Mus musculus: one gene and its partners. The protein of the gene in region 1 interacts with the protein of each later gene in a pairwise test. Links are inferred from orthologs where the notes say so. Each region holds a gene or a part of one and is shown in the gene's direction. Other genes may lie near its edges. The genes, in order: Ccdc172, Smarce1, Hddc3, Dctn2 and Fam13c.

Region 1 (4,010 bases):
TCCTAGTGATCAAACATGACTGTGGGCAAGTTACTTAGCCTTTCAAGTAACAAAAACATAGTTCTAATGGGATAATTGGCTTGATTAAAAGAATTAGTACACATCAAGGTTTCAGATAGTGACTGAACTGAATAGTCTCATGAATTCATTTTTATTGGAATATTTTGAGTCTGTCTCCTTAACTATATCAGATAAGAAATGACAAAAATCATCTCAAATAGATGTAGAATGCTCAGAAAGAGAGTGCTTAGCAAACAAACAATAAATATTGAATTACATAATAATTATTATATCAAAACACAAGTAACAAAATAATGTTATTATTCCTTATTCATGGGACTTCAAGGTTGTAAATAAGAAGTTCTTGTCAAGAAGGGCTACCCAAAAGACAGAAGATCTACCCAAAAAAACAAAAGGGCTACCCAAAAGATAGTGAGAAAATTTTCATCAATACTTGCTTCTGAATAGCTCCAAGTAATTGTTTTCAACTTCATTTCAAATTTCAGTGTGTATTCTGATAGTTCAAACATTAAACTTTATGCAGACATGACCAGATGAAAATTAAGGTAGAAATTTAGAATAGGTTAGAATTTATAACTGATTATATTGTGGCATTAATGGGCTATTAATTAAGCCTATTCTATGTGACAAAAAATTTCATTTACCTTATTTTACATAATTTAAAACACATTCAAACTAAAAGTTACTTTAAAAAGTCTAGCCAGTGTCAGTTTTACATTTATAATAAAGTCAAATATTTATTACAATGTCAATATTTTGAGCTACCGAAACTGAAAATATTTTTTAATTAAAAAAAGAAGAAAGAAAAACTCATGTAAAAGCCCCAAAGGTGCCTTTCACATTTAAGCCTTAATTAGCAACCACTTTGGTCTCTGACACACATTGTGCAGATATTGAAGTGTTAATATTACCAAGGCTTGATTACAAAAGGCAATGATTAATTTCGGAGCAGACAAAAAAAAAAAATATGCCCTGATTACGAAGGAATGATTACGACGGAATGTCAGATATTGTACGTTTGTCTTTGTGAGCCTCCCAGCATAAGACTTTGCAAAAGTTTATATTTAGAATCACTGGTACTTTGCACTTTGTAATCCTTGAAGACTGGGCGTCCCACCTCTAGAAAGACCCCAGACCCGTGAGCGCAGACCCTGCAGACTGGCCCCACCAGGCTCCCGTAGCTGACTTCTCGCGAGATCAGTGGAGGCCGCCTGCGCTGGACACACGTGAGGGGACGAGGGGACGTCGCCAGCCCCTGACCACAGGCATCTTCCCCTGGGGGAGCGAGGGAGCTGGGGAAGGGAAGCATGGCCCCAGCCAAGGCTGCCATGTCTGTTCTCCAAGACTTTCCTGTGGGAGCTGCACCCAGCACAGAAGCAGGCCGCGCTGTGGGCGAGCATGGAGGAACAGGCCGAGCTCCCCCATGGGGCTCCACTGGGCAGGGGTGGGTGGTGCGGGCAGCCCAGCAGGGAGCAGCCGGACAGCCCTCTCTCTTCGCTGTGCTTTCCAGGATCCTCAGACTCCCTTATCAAATATTAAGGGCGAGCCGGCCGGAGATGAGTCTGGAGTCCTTGTTTCAGCACATCATCTTCAGTGAGCATCAGGCGGAGGAGAGCCGCAGAGTGATGCGGGAAGGTGGGGCCTGCCCCCGGGGGGCCTTCGGCGTTTGGAGCTGGGTGTTTGCACCTCAGACTGGAGGGGAAGGGAAGGCTTGAGTGGAGTTTGCAACCTGGAGGGAAACCTCACATGCCAACAGCTCCTAAGATGGAGGCTTCAGAAAGGTGAATGCAAGTAAAGATTTTGTTTGTATTACAGTAAGGTCGGAGATTACCAGATGTCGTGGGAAAATTAAGAAAGCAACAGAGGACCTGAGTGAAGAGAAAATCAAGTTGGAATCCAAGGTATTGATGCATAGAACATGCTAAGGGTTACTTGAAGAAGTGTCTTGAGCTTGGCTTTGGGGAGCTATTTACTGTCTACGTATCCTTCAGCTAGGAGCCGCAACAGCTATATACTGTGGTTCAATGTTGTCTAGAACCTAAGATTCTGAATCCGCTATCTTTAGTTCTTAACAGGAAGTGGCTCCAAGGAATCCAGACTTACCGAATTCCTTGTCCATTTTGTGGAATGGTTAATGTTTATAAGAGAAGTGTCATTTGGAAGAATAATTGTTCCTTAGTGCAGCATATGAATTTTAAATACTAAGTAATTTAAGCGTGCAATGTGGATGTAACAGACTGTATATATCTTTCAAACGATGGCTTTCTGCTTTTCAGTTCACGACCACGTTTTTGAGTATGTCTCAGCCAAAAGAATCTCTTCCCTGCTCTCATTTCTCTCTTTGGCTGCATTTGTAAAGTTCTGCCTTTTGAAAAATAGGACCAAGGGAACCTCACAGCTTCAAGGAAGAGGTTGAACCAAGGATAGACTTTTGAGAAAGAAAAGAGATTTAGTAGGAGAGACCTTTGGTAGCAGTAGGGGGCAGATCTTCCCCAGGCACATTGAGAGAGGACTCTGGGCGCCAGCAGAGGGCTGCTGAGAGAGCTGGAAGGGAATTGTCCAGAGGGGGGGCAGTGAACGTGCTGTCAGGGGTCTCCTTGTGCTCTGATCACAAAGATGGGGGTGGACAGTGAAGATGGTGAGGGTGTGCTGAAGGCCTCAGTCCAACAGGAGGGATTCCGTGTCCAGTGAGTCCACAGTGATAATGTTCCAACACCTAAAGATGAGCTAGGGGAGCAGTGCATAGGGGCAGACTATTTTACTTAATCACTCAAAGGATTTTGTTAATAAAATCTTCATTTTATTACATATTAAATATAAATTTATATTTAACAGAAATATAAGCTATACATTTATGTATATAAAGTATTACTCTATTAACTTAGCATGTATCTGTGAGGAGTTTTCAGTTTTCTGTGGATAAAATAATTCTTGCACTTTTACCACGTGGTGAATGCTCTCTCTTCTTTCCATATCCTGCTCATATATCTTAAAGCCTTCCTAGACAGCTCTGTAAAATCTCTTAGCTAACTGTCAACATGCAGTTGTGTTTGTAGCCCCGGTTTCTTTAAGAGGAACGTACTTAGTTCTTTTAATTCACCTTTATTCTCTTTGTGTTTGTTGCATAGCAAACATTGTGCACGAGTGTATTCACTACTGAGAGAGGGTAACAAGGAAAGAATGGTCTAGATGATTTGACAAATAAAAGTTGTGCATGTTTATAGGTTCCATGTTATTTGTTACATATTTTGTAATGCTCAACTCCAGGTTAATATATCTGTGCCAACATTTATCCTGTGTTTGTGGTGAAAATACTACAAATCTTTGAATTTTTAGTATATGTCATTAACTATAGTCACCTTGCTATGTATTCTAATACCAGTATTTATCCCTCCTAACTGTGAGCACTTACTAACCAAGCAACCTTTCCTATCTGCCCCCTTCACCTAAAAGAAACTGGCTATCTTTTAAAACAGAATTTGGGACGAGTATTCATTGAGCCCTAGGTCTGATTTTTCCCAGGGTAAAAGAGAAAGTAGGCTAGTGACAGTGGGGAACCCTGGTGGGGTGGGCAGAGGTGGAGAGTATCCTCATGGAGCAGTCTTTTCCTTGAAGAAGAATTAAGATGCTTTGAAAGTTGGGTTGGCAAGTAGAAGTCAACAGAAGAAAAGGGACATACACACAGGCATACGCTCACATGCCACACACCACACACACACCCCCCAAATACTCATACCACACATACCACACATGCACACTTACCACACGCACACTACAAACACACTACATACATATACCACACATATACCACACCCACACACACATACCACACATGCACACACAGCACACACACATACCACTCACACACCACACACACACACACACACACACACACACACACACACCACATAACCCACACACATACACATACATACCACACACAGAGACTACATATACACTCCACACATGGCAAGGGGCCGAGGTGAGTT
Region 2 (2,751 bases), on another chromosome or scaffold:
CTTCTGGCTTCCTTTTAATGTGACGTTTAAACCAAGTCTCCAGAAAATATTTCAGTGTTATCTATCAATATTTTTAAACTTATTAACATTCTAGGCTAGAGAGAAAGCTGAGTAGATTGGACCTGAGCTCCTATGTAAAAAGCATGGTAGCGCATGCTCATGATCCAGGACTGGGGAGATAGAGATGGGCAGCTCCCAAGGCTCGTTGGCCTGCCAGCCTAGCCTGCCTGGTCACTTCCAGGTCAGTGGGAGAGCCTGTCTCAAAAACGTGCACAGTGACTGAGGAGCAGAACTTGTCTCCTCTGACTCACGGACACACGCAAGGCTGTGACTGTCTTACATTCTGTTGTCGTAGCAAAGCTTTGAAATCCAGTGTGTATTTTATATACTTTTTAAAAATAATTTATTTTTATTTGATGTACATTGGTGATTTGACTGCATGTATCTCTGTGTAAGTGTTGGTCTGGATCTCCTGGAACAGGAGTTACAGACAGTTGTGAGCTGCTGATTGACTGTGCCCTGATATTTTCCCTCTTGAAGGAAGAAACTGTTTTAGTGGAGCCCATAGTTAAGAGAGTTTTAATTGTAAAAAGACTTTGGATTTTAAAAGAGATGGGTATTTTAAAGAGATTGAAATTTTAAGAATATGTAAAGACTGTGGGACTTTTAAAGTTATTTAGATCTTGTGGGTGCTGGAAACTGAACCTGGATCCAATTGAAGAGTAGCCAGTGCTCTTAACCACTGATCCACCTCTCCAGCCCCTTTCATATACTTCCTAATTTCAAAATCTCAATTCTCACCACGAATGTGTTTGGTATGTATTTAAATTTTGTAATACTGTAGGTAAAAATGTAGATTTTTGTACCCTGAGCTGTCTCAAATATTGGTAAATACTCCTGAATCATATTAGGTCATCTCAGGGCTTCTCCACGTGTGGCTGTCCAATGCCATCAGAATAGTTAAGAGTGAATGTTTTTCTTGGAACTGATGGTGGTAAATGTATGGTTTCAGAGGAGACACACCTTGAAGACACAGCAGAGAGCCAGCAGAATGGTGAAGAAGGCACGTCTACTCCTGAGGACAAGGAGAGTGGGCAGGAGGGGGTTGACAGCATGGAGGTGGAAGGGACCAGTGACAGTAACACGGGCTCAGAGAGCAACAGCGCCACAGTGGAGGAGCCGCCCACAGACCCAGTGCCAGAAGACGAGAAGAAGGAGTAAATGTTGCCTTGTTTTATGTGACCTAAAACTTTTTTAAATGAAAAAAAAATGTGGTTTTTTTTTTGGTTTTAATGGTGTTATGTGGTCTGTGTATTAATTATTTACTTTTCCGTTGATACAACATGAAGGTCTTTGAACCCTCAGCATCATAGCCTAATGCCAGCCGCTCACCTTTCTTAGCTCTCAACGTCTGAAACCTCAGAGCTGAGATTAATCAAGACACCCATCATTCTCTGAGAACTACCTTGGCTGCTGCAGAATCGACTCTTCCAAATACCTGCCTTCAGCTCACGTGGTGCTCACCAAAGCCATAGCTTTAAACCCTTCCAGCCCATCCACAGCTTTCCCAGTCCCTGTCTTGTGTACTTACACAGAGTGCCCTCTTGAAATCATGAGGGGGTCTCTTCACTCACCCTTTCTATGTCCCATGTCAGACACCAGGAGTTCTCTTACAGGGTAGGGTGTAGCCAGAAACTGGTGAGACACAGATCACAGAGATGCCTCTGGGGGCACTGGGGGTGGGGGAGCAGGGGGAGTACAGTTGTTCTTTCTGTGGATTCCTTGTTGGTGAGAGCTGCGCCTGCTTATCTAGAGTGCTGTTCAGTGTAGTCGATCTGGGATGTGTTCTGGGAAATTCATCCTTTTTGTACAGGGGAAAGAAACACTTTTTTTTACCAGATTGGCTTTCCAAAGACACGATAGATGGCAGAGCTTAAGGAATGGAATGTTCTTATAATGGACTACAGACTTCAAAGTGATTGGCCCATTCCAAAAGGAAAATGGGAATGCTGTTCATCCATGTGAGCATACTTCACAGTGATGAAAACCTCAAGACTCGAGATCCCATAGATCAGAGCCGAACCTACTTTTTTGATAACCCCTGTAGTGGTCTTAGAGACTAGAAACAAGATAGTTTGTAGTGTGTGCTCCCTAAAATCTAGAATAGATTTTTACTGAATAGTGGTATATATGATGGTATATGTTTCTTAAAGGTCCAAACATAATAAAGAAATTAAGACAAAGGTCTCAGTGTTTTTATTGCACTGTGGAAGATAATATGTAGACATAATTTGGTCACTATGATACAGGGACATCATGGAATGATCCATGGTCATAAGATGTCACTTTTAGGAACCTTGCCTCATGAACTGTCAGTATCAATAGGACTGAAGAAATCTCAGTAGTGTGCAAGAAGTGTGGCCAGTAAGTGAATAGAGCCTGTGCTCATGGAGAGACGGCACCTGCACCCACACTTGAGTAACTGCCGGTATAGACACAGCATTGAGCAGTTCCCTGAGAGGAAGCCTGATGTGTGGGGTCATCCTTGGGCCAGTTTTTCTGTGATTCTACAGTTGCTTGAGAGTCAAACAATTTTTTGTTGTTTTTTTTTTCAAAACAGGATTTCTCTGTGTAGCCTTGTCTACCCTGGCAAAGAACTTTCCTATCAACGGGTCTGTTTGGGGTTTTGAGCATGTAGGGCTAAGAATTCAAACCATCTTATCTCAGACAAATTGGATAGCCACAAATAGA
Region 3 (4,019 bases), on another chromosome or scaffold:
CCTGAGCCTTATCTCCCCAGCTGCCAGCCCAGACACAAAAGCTACCTGCCTGGTGGAATACACTTAGCAGCTGGCTGTCTCCACTTCTCAGAACCCTTTGGGGAGATGCCAAGGTCTTGCTTATCCCTCATACTTCAGAGCTGCCAACGCCAAGACGGGATTTCTCCAGAAGATCCAAAGCTCGATGGCCGGTAAAGAGAGAAGGATTGTTCCAGTGCCTACCCAAGCTAGGCAACACTATGCTCCTGAAACCGCGGGGACAAGACTCACTACCTCAAGGGCCCAGAGCAGAGGTCTGGGGACTGAAGCAGGCTCCCTCATGATTCAAGAGATGAATGCAAACGGTTTCTGTAGAAACAGTGTTGTGTCCCAGGAGCCCACATCTGAAGCAATTAAGCAAGATCCAACTCTCCAGGTCAAATCCTAGCATCTCTAGGGCCAAGATGTTAGGTTCAGATGCCCAAGATAACAGAGACTGACCCTGTGAGGAGAGCGATGTTTGGAGCACGTTGAAAACGGTCTGGGTGTTGTGCCAGGCTGTAGATGGCCTTTTTCTCGTGGAAGACGCTGTCTCTGCCTCCCAGGCTAGATAAAATGGGCTTTCCCCCCACGATCCCACGGCCACCCGTGCCTTCCAGCTCTGTACCCAGCACTCTGTGAAACTATCACTTTTGGTTTTGTCTCCCTTTTCTGCAAAGACTGTTAGTTCTACTACGTCCTGGGGCATGGTGGGGAGAACGCTGCACCAGCCGCTGTGATTGTTGAAAACTTCTATATCCAGGATCTCGGTCTTTAAAGAACCTCCGTTGAGAATGGGATGATGGTTCAGTGGGTAAAGTGCTTGCTGCACAAGAATAAGGACTTGCATTCTTTCAGATTATTGCAATAGCCAGGTAAAAAAGCTGGGGATGGCAACCTACGCCTGTTGTACTGTGGAGGCAGAGACAGGAGACTCCTTGAAACTCGTTCGGTAGCTAGTCTTGCTAAATACCTGGGCTACAGGTTCAAGGAGAGTCTTTGTCTCCAAAAACTAAGGTGGAGACTTATAGCCTCTATAATCCACACGCACGCGCACACACGTTGGGGGAGGGGGGATGAATGAATTACAGCTTGTTAGAAATAGTTCCGTTCTCCGAGCCTCCGAAGCGCCAGGCGGCGCTATAGGTGATTTGTTCGGACTCCGAAGCTTCAGTCCCTCGCGCCACCAGCGCAATGGGCTCGGAGGCAGCTCAGCTGCTGGAGGCTGCTGACTTCGCCGCTCACAAACACCGACAGCAGCGACGAAAAGATCCTGAAGGGACTCCCTACATTAATCACCCCATCGGTGGGCGCGCCAGTTGGGAAGCAGCCCTCGCGGCCCGTGGCGGGTGGGGACTAACTGGGACGGGAACACAAAGCGCATATAAATTACTGAGCGCCTTCTTCGAGTCCCAAGCGTTGTATCAACCACTTTTCATGCGTTATGCGTGTAAGCCTCACCTGGGGTAGAAGGCAGGAGTGCTCCCTTGGTACAGTCGATATCCCAAGAGGGTAAGGGACTTTCCAAGGTCATCCAGCTGGTGAGGTGCTACATCTGGCTCCTTCTAGACTGACTTCTGCTTTGCCCCTGCCAGGTGTAGCCCGGATCCTAACCCATGAGGCTGGAATCACTGATATTGTGGTGTTACAGGTAAGGCTACCCTTCTCTGCCAGGAGGCTGGTGCGGGAAACCAGAGTACTGTTGAACAATGGGTGCTATTTATTTGGCTAGTAGGTTAGTGTCACTGGGCTGAATGGTAACCTATCCCCAGGCCGCCCTGCTCCATGACACAGTAGAAGACACAGATACTACCCTGGATGAGGTAGAGCTGCACTTTGGAGCACAGGTTCGACGCTTGGTGGAGGAGGTAACAGATGACAAGACTCTGCCCAAACTGGAAAGAAAGCGGCAACAGGTGGAGCAGGCACCACACAGCAGCCCAGGGGCCAAACTGGTGAAGCTGGCAGACAAGCTATACAATCTGAGGGACCTGAATCGCTGCACCCCTACAGGTATGCTCTCCTACTGGCTCTGAGGAGAGAGGGGGAGGGGATGGCCAGCTTCTGAAAATACAGGTTGGTTAGATTCCCAGAAATAAGTCGGGGGGTAGAGTGGGGAGGGGTGGTCGTAACACCTCCGACTAAACCTCTGTCTTAGTCAGGGTTTCTATTCCTGCACAAACATCATGACCAAGAAGCAAGTTGGATCTCATGGAGGCATTTCCTCAACAGAAGCTCCTTTCTCCGTGATAACTCCAGCTGTGTCAAGTTGACACAAAATTAGCCAGTACAATTGACCCCTTGTCAACTTGACACACAAAAACATCACTAGTAAGCCTCAACCCTTACAATCTTATTCATCCCCAAGATCTAAATAACTTTAAAAGTCCCACAGCCTTTACATATTCTTAAAATTTCAATCTCTTTAAAATATCCATCTCTTTTAAAATCCAAAGTCTTTTTACAATTAAAAGTCTCTTAACTGTGGGCTCCACTAAAACAGTTTCTTCCTTCAAGAGGGAAAATATCAGGGCACAGTCACAATCAAAAGCAAAAGTCAATCTCCAACCGTCCAATGTCTGGGATCCAACTCACGATCTTCTGGGCTCCTCCAAGGGCTTGGGTAACTTCTCCAGCCAGGCCCTTTGTAGCACACGCATCGTCCTCTAGGCTCCAGATGCCTGTACCCCACTGCTGCTGCTGCTCTTGGTGGTCATCTCATGGTACTGGCATCTCCAAAACACTGCATGACCCCTTCAGTCCTGGGCCTTCAATTGCAACTGAGGCTGCACCTTCACCAATGGCCTTCCATGGCCTCTCACAGTACCGAACCTCAGCTGCTTTGCGTGACCCCTTCATGCCTTCAAAACCAGTACCACCTGGGTGACCCTTACATATTACCAAGTCCCACTGCAGCAGGAGTACATCCTTGGCCATCTCTGGAACACTGCCTCTTTGTGCTTTCAGAAAACACTTCCCAGAAGATGTCACCTCAATGATGCTGGTCTCTTCTTAATCACCGCTAATTTCTTAGCTCCAGCTAACCAGCATCAATAGTCCCAGTAATGCAAAGTTTTTGCTTGGTAGTTCTGGTATCTTGTTAATCACAGCTGATTCTTCAGCCCCAGCTAACCAGAACTACAGAATCTTCACAAACAAAACAGCAATGGCCCTGAAAAGAGTCTTTAATTTTCCCTCTGAAATTTCACAAACCAGAGCTCCATCTTCTGCAGTGTTCTCAACATTATCTTCCAAGCTCCTACATGACATCCGACAGAGCTCTTAACAACGGATGGATCTTCAAGCCCAAAGTTCCAAAGTCCTTCCACAGTCCTCCCCAAAACATGGTCAGATTGTCACAGGAATACCCCACTCCTGGTACCAATTTGTCTTAGTCAGGGTTTCTATTCCTGCACAAACATCATGACCAAGAAGCAAGTTGGATCTCATGGAGGCATTTCCTCAACAGAAGCTCCTTTCTCCGTGATAACTCCAGCTGTGTCAAGTTGACACAAAATTAGCCAGTACAACCTCCTAGAATAGTCTTCTTCCCTAAGGTGGGAACAGAGTTGCTGGGTCATGGAGAAGTTGTCAGATCATGCCATCGCAACTCACGGCCTTGTACCAAAGCCTGCCAGGAAACAGGCAAAAGCCGATGCTGCCCTTGACACCACACAAGCAGGTTTCTGTCCACTCTGGTGCAGGATGGTCAGAACACCGAGTCCAGGAGTACTTCGAGTGGGCAGCCCAGGTGGTAAAAGGGCTTCAAGGGACAAACCAGCAACTGGAAGAGGCACTAAAGCAGCTGTTCGAGGAGCGAGGGCTGACGCTCTGAGCCGTTCTCTGTGCCATCCTGCAGCATGGCTCCAGCAAGGTCCAGGAAAGATGGGATTCTTACTGCAGCGTTCCAGAGCCTCCTCATTTCCCACATTCCATCACTCAACCCTGACATCACAGGCTAAAAACGTCTGTGTTTTTTCACTAAGGTGGGCCCGGAATAT
Region 4 (3,515 bases), on another chromosome or scaffold:
TCACAGAGCACTTTCTCTTCAGGTTGTGCCCCGTGCCTTTTCCTTTCCTTTTCTTTTTTCATTTGTGTGTTGGTGGTAGCAGAGGTCTAGCGCAGGGGCTGAAGCCTGCAAGGTCAGTCCTCCAGCACCAAGTGACAGCACCAGCCTCTCATCCGCTTCTTTTCTTCTTTTAAGATGGGATCTCACTCTATAGACTAGCTCGACCTGGAACTCAAAGTGACCCAGCCTGCTTGGTGCTGGGATTAAAAGTGTCTTCTGCTGCTGTCTGGCCATCTTTTTAAGAAGTTAGTTTTTTTGGTTTTGTTTTTGAGTAGAGTCTTGGGATCCTAGCTGACCTGGAACTCAGAGTGAAGACCAGGCTGGCTGCAGACTTGCAGCTATCCTTCTGCTTCAGCCTCCCAAACGCTGGGATTACAGTGTGAGCGTCTTCCTGGGTGCTGGGATTACACACCTGTGCCACCATGCTTGTCTGAAAAGGGGCCTCTGCCTTGTTGGCTTTTATGGAGAGAAACCATGTTTCCGGGAGCCAGCAGCACAGCTATGCTTGCCTGTCTTGAGCTGCTATCCTTAGGCAGTTTAGAGACCAGAAACCACAGGGCTACTTGGCAAGTGGGGACTTCTGAGGGGAAGGGGTGAGGGGGACTCCGATGTCTCTTCTCTCCACTGGGCCCTTGTCTTGTCCCTCTGCCTAACAGCTGCCTGAAGGGAGGGAAGCTGCTGCTTTGTCCTCGCCTTCTCTCTTGTCCTCAGCCCGAGGCTGCCGCCCATGCCCGCCACGTTCCCCCTGTGACTCTGGAGAGGGGAGGATGGACCCTCCTTGCAGCCAGTGCTCTCTCTCCTGTCCTGGTTCTCCTCCCTGCTCCCCACACACCCACACACAGGCAGAGAGAGCACCTAAGCTCACACCTAAGAGATGGGCCCAGGCCTGTTCTTTTTCTTCTCCAGGAAGGAAGGGATGGAGGGAGGACGGAAGGCAGGGAGGGAGGGAGGAAGGAAGGCAGGGAGGGAGGGAGGAAGGAAGGCAGGCAGGCAGGCTTTTCTAAGAGACTCTAATGTGCAACAACCCGATTGAGCTTCATTTCCTAGATTCAGGGAGATGTCAACCCCTAACAAAACAGCACTCCTAGGCACCTCCCTTCCTTCAGCACTGTAGTGACCTTCCCTGGTTGGAAGATGTAGTTGTTGATGTGTAAGGAGTGTCACCCTCAGGTCTAGGGTACAGTGTTCCCTCTCTGCATGTGCCTGACTTGATTGTTTGGGTGCAACAGAGTGGTCTAGTAGCAGGGGCACATGCCACGCTTCTCAGTGCTGGGGGCTATGTCCAGCCCTTGCCTAAGGTGCTCCTGGGATACTTGTAAGGTGTCCCTTTAATAGTAACCCGCTGAGCTGTCGCTGCTCCTCCATATCCCGAGCTGTCTGGCCCCACAGTAGCCCAGAAACCAGGCTTCTAAGCACACACTCTGCCAATAGTCCTCTTCTATCTATGAGTTGGTATCTTACCTTGTACAGATTAAACCTGCCATTTTACATTGAGAATATTGCCCTTGCCTCCTCCTCCCCGTCCAGCATGGGCGAAGAGTCAGCTCTATGGACTTGTTTAGCCAGGGAAGAAGATTTACTTTTGGGAGGGGGAGGTTAGGAGAGGTCAAGTTTGTTTCTTGCCCTGAGTGCATGGTGTATGCCAGATAACTGGGAGAGGCTGAGGGAGGGAGGCTTATGTACAGAGTGGGTGGGGGAGGCTACACTGCCTCTGTCCCTAGCTAAATCAGGGTGTTAATACTTATACTACCAAGGCTCCAGCTTTACCAGGAGGCTTCTCTTTCCCAGGCTGAGCCTGGGTGGGAGGCTTGGAATGGAGCCCCCCTTCTTTCTCCTTGGAAAAATAGAGTGCAGTGGCTTAGTAGTTTGGGGGCTTTGTGGGATAGAAGAAATGCTAAGGTCCCTGTCCCCTCAGGAGGAACTGAGCAGCACAAGCGTGGAACACATCATTGTCAACCCCAACGCTGCCTACGACAAGTTCAAGGACAAGAGAGTGGGAACAAAGGGGCTTGGTGAGCCTGGGCTGGAGGCTTGGGGAGGGGATGCGGGCGTGGTCCTAGAGAGCGAACAAGCTGCCTGAGCCCTGCGGATCCGATCCCTTGTGGAGCCTTCTGGGACCAGCCCTCACAGTCACCTTGGTCTGGGGCTGAACTGGGCCTAGACCAGCTCATTCAGTAGTCTTCTTCTCTTGACAGATTTCTCAGATCGCATTGGAAAGACCAAGAGGACAGGATATGAGTCTGGAGACTATGAAATGGTTTGTTGTGTGATGACCGTGGGGTGAGCCTAGAGCAGGCCTGCAGGGGAGTGAGCAGTGTTAAGTTTGGGGCTTTGTTTCTTTATTTTAAATTTCTCTCTCTCTTATTTTTTTGTCTTTGTTTTTTGCCTTGGGGATTATTATTATTTTGTTGTGTTTTTGTTGTTGTTTCAAGACAGGGTTTCTCTGTGTAGCCCTGGCTGTCCTGGAACTTGCTCTGTAGACCAAGCTGGCCTTAAACTCAGAGAATCATCTGCCTCTGCCTTCCAAGTGCTGGGATTAAAGTCTTGTACCACCATACCTGGCTTTGGTTTTTGTTTTGTTTCTTTAAGATTTATTTATTTTTATATTGTGCAAATGAGTATTTACCTGCATGAATGTACCATGTGTGTGCCTGATGTTTGGAGAGACCAGAAGAGAGCATTGGATTCTGTAGAAATAAGGTTACAGATGGTTGTAATTCACCTTATGGCTGCTGGGACTGAAGGTCTCTGAGGGCAGCCAGTGCCCTTAGCTGCTGAGCCTGAGGGATGTAGTCTTAGTCTGAGTTTGTCTGAGTGTCATCCACGCAAAATACATTTGAGAGTGTTGTGCTCCCTGCTACAGTTCTGGAGTCTCCAGATCTCTGTTGTCTCCCTCTCTTCTGTAAGAGGGTAGTGAGGATCCAGGTGGTAGAGGGATACCTTATGACTTAGGTCCAAGGTTTGGATTAACTCCGAGGGCTCCCTCTAATGGGACAGGTAACATCAACTTCCTCCTTGTCTCTAGCTTGGAGAGGGTCTGGGAGTGAAGGAGACACCGCAGCAGAAGTACCAACGACTACTGCATGAAGTCCAAGAGCTGACAACTGAGGTGGAGAAGATCAAGGTAACGTCCATACCCTGGCTTCTGAGTGCCTGGGCTGTGAGGTTTCCAGAGCTGGGGAATACAAATCTATATTTAACACTGTTAAATTCAGTGCTGTTCTAAAATCTATCCTGGGCACGTGGCAGTGGTGACTGGAAAGATTAAGAGCACTGGCTGCCCCTTTGGAGGATCCAGGTTCTATTATCATCACCCATTTAGGGCCTCCCAACCATCTGTAACTCTAGTCCCATGGGATCTGATACCCCCTTCAGGCCCCTATGGCCACTGCATGCATGTGATATACACACTGCATGCATGTGGCACACACATTGCATGCATGTGGTACACACACTTCATGCATGTGGTATACACA
Region 5 (4,139 bases), on another chromosome or scaffold:
CTCCTCCTCAGCTTCTTCCAGCTTTTCCCCAATTCATCCACAGGGGTCCCCCGCTTCTGTCCATTGGTTGGGTGCTAGTATCTGCATCTGACTCTTTCAGCTGCTTGTTGGGCCTCTCAGAGGGTTCATTATATTTTCAACTGGTCCACAGCATATTCATATCAACTGCTGTTTTTCAGGTGAAAGCATTGTTCCTTCTGTTCTAGATGAATCACTGGAGATGTTTACGCAATCAAAAGGCTGGTCTTTCTTCACACTGAACTACCCAGAATGGGCACCACAGCCCTCGAGCGCAGGGGCGTTTGGGAAAGTGACAGTCTTTGGATCTGAGGACAGGAAGATATCCTGTGATTAGACTTCACGTTGCCATCTAGAACCTAGTTCCATGGGACAGTAGGATTAAGAACACATGCATAGTATAGTTCAACACGTAAGTCTGTGATCGTATTTCAAAATTCAGAGGCAGGTCTTTCCAAGTCAAGGTCAACATGTCAGGAAACATGGACAATGGGAACGGGGCAGGGTAAACATCTCCAAGCAAGAATAAAGCGGGGTGGGGGTGGGGCTGACCGGCCCTCCCTTCCCCCAACAAAGTAGACTCCATCAAAGGGAACAACGTTTGTGAGTTGTCATTCCATCCTTTGTGAAGGTGCGGGGCTGCTGTGGGGGTAGGAGTCCATCTCCCCGCCTGGCACGGTGTCCTAGGCATCAGCGAAGGCCTGGAAAGCATTCTACATTCGCCTGCATAGGTTCATTCACATCTCTGTGGTCCTGCGCTGGGCGCTTCCTCTAGCGGAGTAAAATAACAAGAGCGCAGACGGACCTGTCGGGATGCAGCCCGCCCTTGGGAGCCCTTTTGTTCTAGGCAATAAAAACCAACACACAGTGAAAATAAATCAAAACTCAGCATCCATATCCCTCTCCTCCTTCTCGATCTCTCCATGCTTTCAGGAAAAGCGACAGAAGCATCTTTGCTCGTTTGCATCCCTAGGGTGGGGTGGGGGCTGGGGAGGTAACAAGCCATGGGAGGCGGGCATTGTATCCACTGGGGGGTGGGGGGGACGACGCAATCTGTATTGCCAGCTGAGGCTGAGGTGGCAGGCTCAAGCAGCTTGGACTCTCTGTAGCTCCTAGCTGCCTACCAGGGTTGCGCGGAGCAGCTCCAGGTTCCTGAGGCTGAAGCCCCCGGTCGCGCGCCGCCGCGCCCCGCCCCATCGTCCCCGCAGCCTCGCGGGCTGCTGGGCTTTGTGGTTCGCCGGTGCCGCTGGGCCCCTGCTGGGGGTGTCGTCAGGAGCATGTGCAGACAGCAGCCCAAGGTAGAGCGAGCGTGCCGGGCGAGCCCTAAGACTTGCCTGGCAATGCCATGTTTGTGTGGGTGCTCTAACTCCGGGAGAGCAATTAGGGAGACGGCTCCCCGGCCGCACTTGGCTCATGTTTTCTTGTTTCTGTTTCAGCCTTCAGGATAATTCCTTCGGCAGCGCCGCTGTAACTGAGTAAGTGCTTCTTGCCCTTACAATCGACTTGCATTCCTGTCTCCGAAGCAACTATGGTGAAGGTATCCCCTCCCGCTGCCACCCCACTCCACCCCACCCCACCCCTGTCCCCAAGCCCTCTTTCCAGGCGATGCATTGTCTCCTGGATCCTGAGGCTGCGAGGCTGGCGGGGCCCACAAACCTCACACAGGTTGCAGCCAGTATTTTGGCAGCTCGGGGTGGAGGGTGCGCGGGGGTAGGGAGTGAGGAGCGGAAGCGGGGGGTGGGGGGAGTAATAAACCTAGCTTGATTGCTGCGGGAGGCTCCGTGGCCCAAAATATGCAATCTTGGAGCTTAGCTTAAAAAAAAATCTATGTGACATGTCAGAAAGGAAGCTGGGTTGTATTTTGCCAACATGAGTGTCAGTTTTCATGGAGTGCACGCAGTGTACATTTGCCCCAAATAGACGGATGTGAGCTAGCAGGAGTTTAATTCCAGCATATTTAAACAGGGTAAACTCACCTTCCCTCTCCGTGTGTACAGATTTTTAAGACACAGTGCGGTAAACTTTTCTAGATGCCTTTTTGTGATTTTTCTCGTCTGGCCACAATAATGTGACTATAGAGAAACGCCTTGCCTGACTAACAACCTAATAACAGTTCATAGTGGAGGGAAGGGAAATAATGTTTTACTCTAGGCCAGCCCGTGTGTGTGCGTGTGTGTGTGTGTGTGTGTGTGTGTGTGTTGATATTGATAGTGCTTTGTTTTTATTTTGGTCATCTCTTCCTTAGTATTTTCTTAATAGAATCTATATATCAGAGGTGAACGTGGAGTAGATTTTGCTGGCACTGTATGCAATTCACATATAGCTGGGAGTATAAACTATATGTATTCCATTTTATCGTAGGGAAATTAGTGTTTACTTCTGGGACCTTTTGGTAAAAGCTACTCGGTAAAAGCTTTTTGCAGCAGGCTGTGTGTGTGTGTGCATGCGCAAAGTTGTGTATCCCACTACTTAAGAGAATTGTGAGTTTCATACAGAGGCTACAAGTGGCTTAGAAGCTGTTTGCTAAAGAAACCTGAACAGTGACGAGAGCATCTTTTGGCTTTCAGATCCTGCCACTGTTGCAGAGACTTGGAGAGGGAGGGCTGAGGTTCCACTGTGCTTTCTGGGCCTCTTCCCCATGCACTTTTGCTTGTCTGGTTTGCTACTGACTTAGTACCCCGCTTTGAGCTCATCTAAGTGGGGTCTCTTTAAAATAAGGACCAGGTTGACTTTCAATGATTCACTATGGCCTGTCCACTGGAACCCTGGACACGATAGTGACATTGCCTTGCAATAGAAAGATAGAGAAAGAGAGAGGTGGGGAGAGATACCTGTGGGCCAAGGATGAGGCCTGAATTTCCTGGATAAGTGGTCAGGTAACATCTCTCTTTTCCTCTGGGTTCCTTGGCACCACATGTTTTTCTGGGCCTGATTCTTGGGAGTGTTGTGTGGCTGTATTCCTAGAGTCAGCCATAGTCACAGGCCCAGGAGTTTCAAGATGGAGACTTTTAGTTCCAGCTTTCATATGGTGTGTGTGTGTGTGTGTGTGTGTGTGTGTGTGTGTGTGTTTGTTATGGTTAAATGCTGGGGAGACTCTTGGTGTCTTGTCCTTGGATACTCCCCAAGGAGTTCTGATTGCATAAGATCACGTTACCCTCAGAGAAGTGACAGAGGTTCCTTTTAAAAGGCTGTGAGTAGTGTCTGGGAAGCCATCTGGCTAATGCAAGAATCTAAGGAACTTGCAACACACCCAAAGCCCCACAGGTGTGACCCGGCTCAGCTGAGGGGCGTCCTAAACCAGTGGTTGTCAAAACGGAACATTGTTCATCTTCTCCTCTCAATAATATGAAACTGTTCCTGGGTCTGTGGACTCCCGGCAGGACCAGAGGGTGCTATCCTGAGACACAGACATAGCAGCTTGTCCTGGAAGTGTTTGGGTGCCATGTTAGTCTGTCCCGAGGAGGTTCTTTCCTCTTCAATGTTTCTGAGAGGCAAAGATCCTCTGGCTCCTGTCTTCACCCATGTCCAGTGCCTCCTCTCCAGACCACTGAAAGTTCAGGCCTCTGGTGTTGATCCTTATTAAAATGGAAATTAAAAACTCTGTGCCTTGGAAGGCGCATCCAAGCAGTCATTAGAGTTCCCTATGAATTATTTTATCAGATAGACTTATGTGAGAGGATGCTGCTTGACCAGTCGTGATTATTTGTATGTGCGCGCGCGCCTGTGTGTGTATGCATATGTGTGCCGTGTGCGCTCATACAGTGTGTGCATGAGGGAGCCTTTGGAGGTCAGAGGTTAACATCCTATGTCTCCTTTGATTTCATTCAACCTCATTTCTCACTGAACTTGGAGTTTATGATGGGTTAAGACTGGCCAATGAGCTCTGGGGAATCCTCCGGTCTCCATCCATCCCCAGACCCAAGGCTTTATAGGTACCACCACTAGGATGGACTGACTTTAAAGTGGTTGCTGGGGACTCACATTCAGGTCTTCATACCTGAGCCTAAGACAGTGTCCCACTGAGCCAGGGCTCTGTCTCCCCAGCTGGAGGTCCTGGGAAGAGTCACAGGAAGAGTGGAATTAGGAATCAAGGGGCAGAATCCTTTTCGTTTTGTTTTTCT

Evidence for each region.
Region 2: the proteins of Ccdc172 (region 1) and Smarce1 interact in binary tests that used the Homo sapiens proteins (3 or more experiments, as listed by UniProt). The two-hybrid records come from large-scale screens. The link is inferred for Mus musculus from reciprocal best matches to the Homo sapiens genes CCDC172 and SMARCE1.
Region 3: the proteins of Ccdc172 (region 1) and Hddc3 interact in binary tests that used the Homo sapiens proteins (3 or more experiments, as listed by UniProt). The two-hybrid records come from large-scale screens. The link is inferred for Mus musculus from reciprocal best matches to the Homo sapiens genes CCDC172 and HDDC3.
Region 4: the proteins of Ccdc172 (region 1) and Dctn2 interact in binary tests that used the Homo sapiens proteins (3 or more experiments, as listed by UniProt). The two-hybrid records come from large-scale screens. The link is inferred for Mus musculus from reciprocal best matches to the Homo sapiens genes CCDC172 and DCTN2.
Region 5: the proteins of Ccdc172 (region 1) and Fam13c interact in binary tests that used the Homo sapiens proteins (3 or more experiments, as listed by UniProt). The two-hybrid records come from large-scale screens. The link is inferred for Mus musculus from reciprocal best matches to the Homo sapiens genes CCDC172 and FAM13C.

What each region holds. Positions count from the first base shown.
Region 1 is NC_000085.6:58,510,781-58,514,790, forward strand, and holds the start of Ccdc172 (coiled-coil domain-containing protein 172), read left to right. Parts: upstream 1-1,204; 5' UTR 1,205-1,286; exon of another isoform or gene 1,287-1,328; coding exon of another isoform or gene 1,329-1,577; coding exon 1,578-1,656; intron 1,657-1,836; coding exon 1,837-1,922; intron 1,923-4,010.
Region 2 is NC_000077.6:99,208,539-99,211,289, reverse strand, and holds the end of Smarce1 (SWI/SNF-related matrix-associated actin-dependent regulator of chromatin subfamily E member 1), read left to right. Parts: intron 1-1,012; coding exon 1,013-1,221; 3' UTR 1,222-2,243; downstream 2,244-2,751. UniProt on the Homo sapiens protein: Involved in transcriptional activation and repression of select genes by chromatin remodeling (alteration of DNA-nucleosome topology).
Region 3 is NC_000073.6:80,341,926-80,345,944, forward strand, and holds the start of Hddc3 (guanosine-3',5'-bis(diphosphate) 3'-pyrophosphohydrolase MESH1), read left to right. Parts: upstream 1-1,211; 5' UTR 1,212-1,212; coding exon 1,213-1,324; intron 1,325-1,613; coding exon 1,614-1,669; intron 1,670-1,790; coding exon 1,791-2,031; intron 2,032-2,176; coding exon of another isoform or gene 2,177-2,302; exon of another isoform or gene 2,303-2,985; coding exon of another isoform or gene 2,986-3,017; exon of another isoform or gene 3,018-3,251; coding exon of another isoform or gene 3,252-3,304; exon of another isoform or gene 3,305-3,722; coding exon 3,723-3,853; 3' UTR 3,854-4,019. UniProt on the Homo sapiens protein: ppGpp hydrolyzing enzyme involved in starvation response.
Region 4 is NC_000076.6:127,272,760-127,276,274, forward strand, and holds part of Dctn2 (dynactin subunit 2), read left to right. Parts: intron 1-1,954; coding exon 1,955-2,051; intron 2,052-2,234; coding exon 2,235-2,296; intron 2,297-3,064; coding exon 3,065-3,163; intron 3,164-3,515. UniProt on the Homo sapiens protein: Part of the dynactin complex that activates the molecular motor dynein for ultra-processive transport along microtubules. In the dynactin soulder domain, binds the ACTR1A filament and acts as a molecular ruler to determine the length.
Region 5 is NC_000076.6:70,439,583-70,443,721, forward strand, and holds the start of Fam13c (protein FAM13C), read left to right. Parts: upstream 1-1,327; 5' UTR 1,328-1,431; coding exon 1,432-1,493; exon of another isoform or gene 1,494-1,555; intron 1,556-4,139.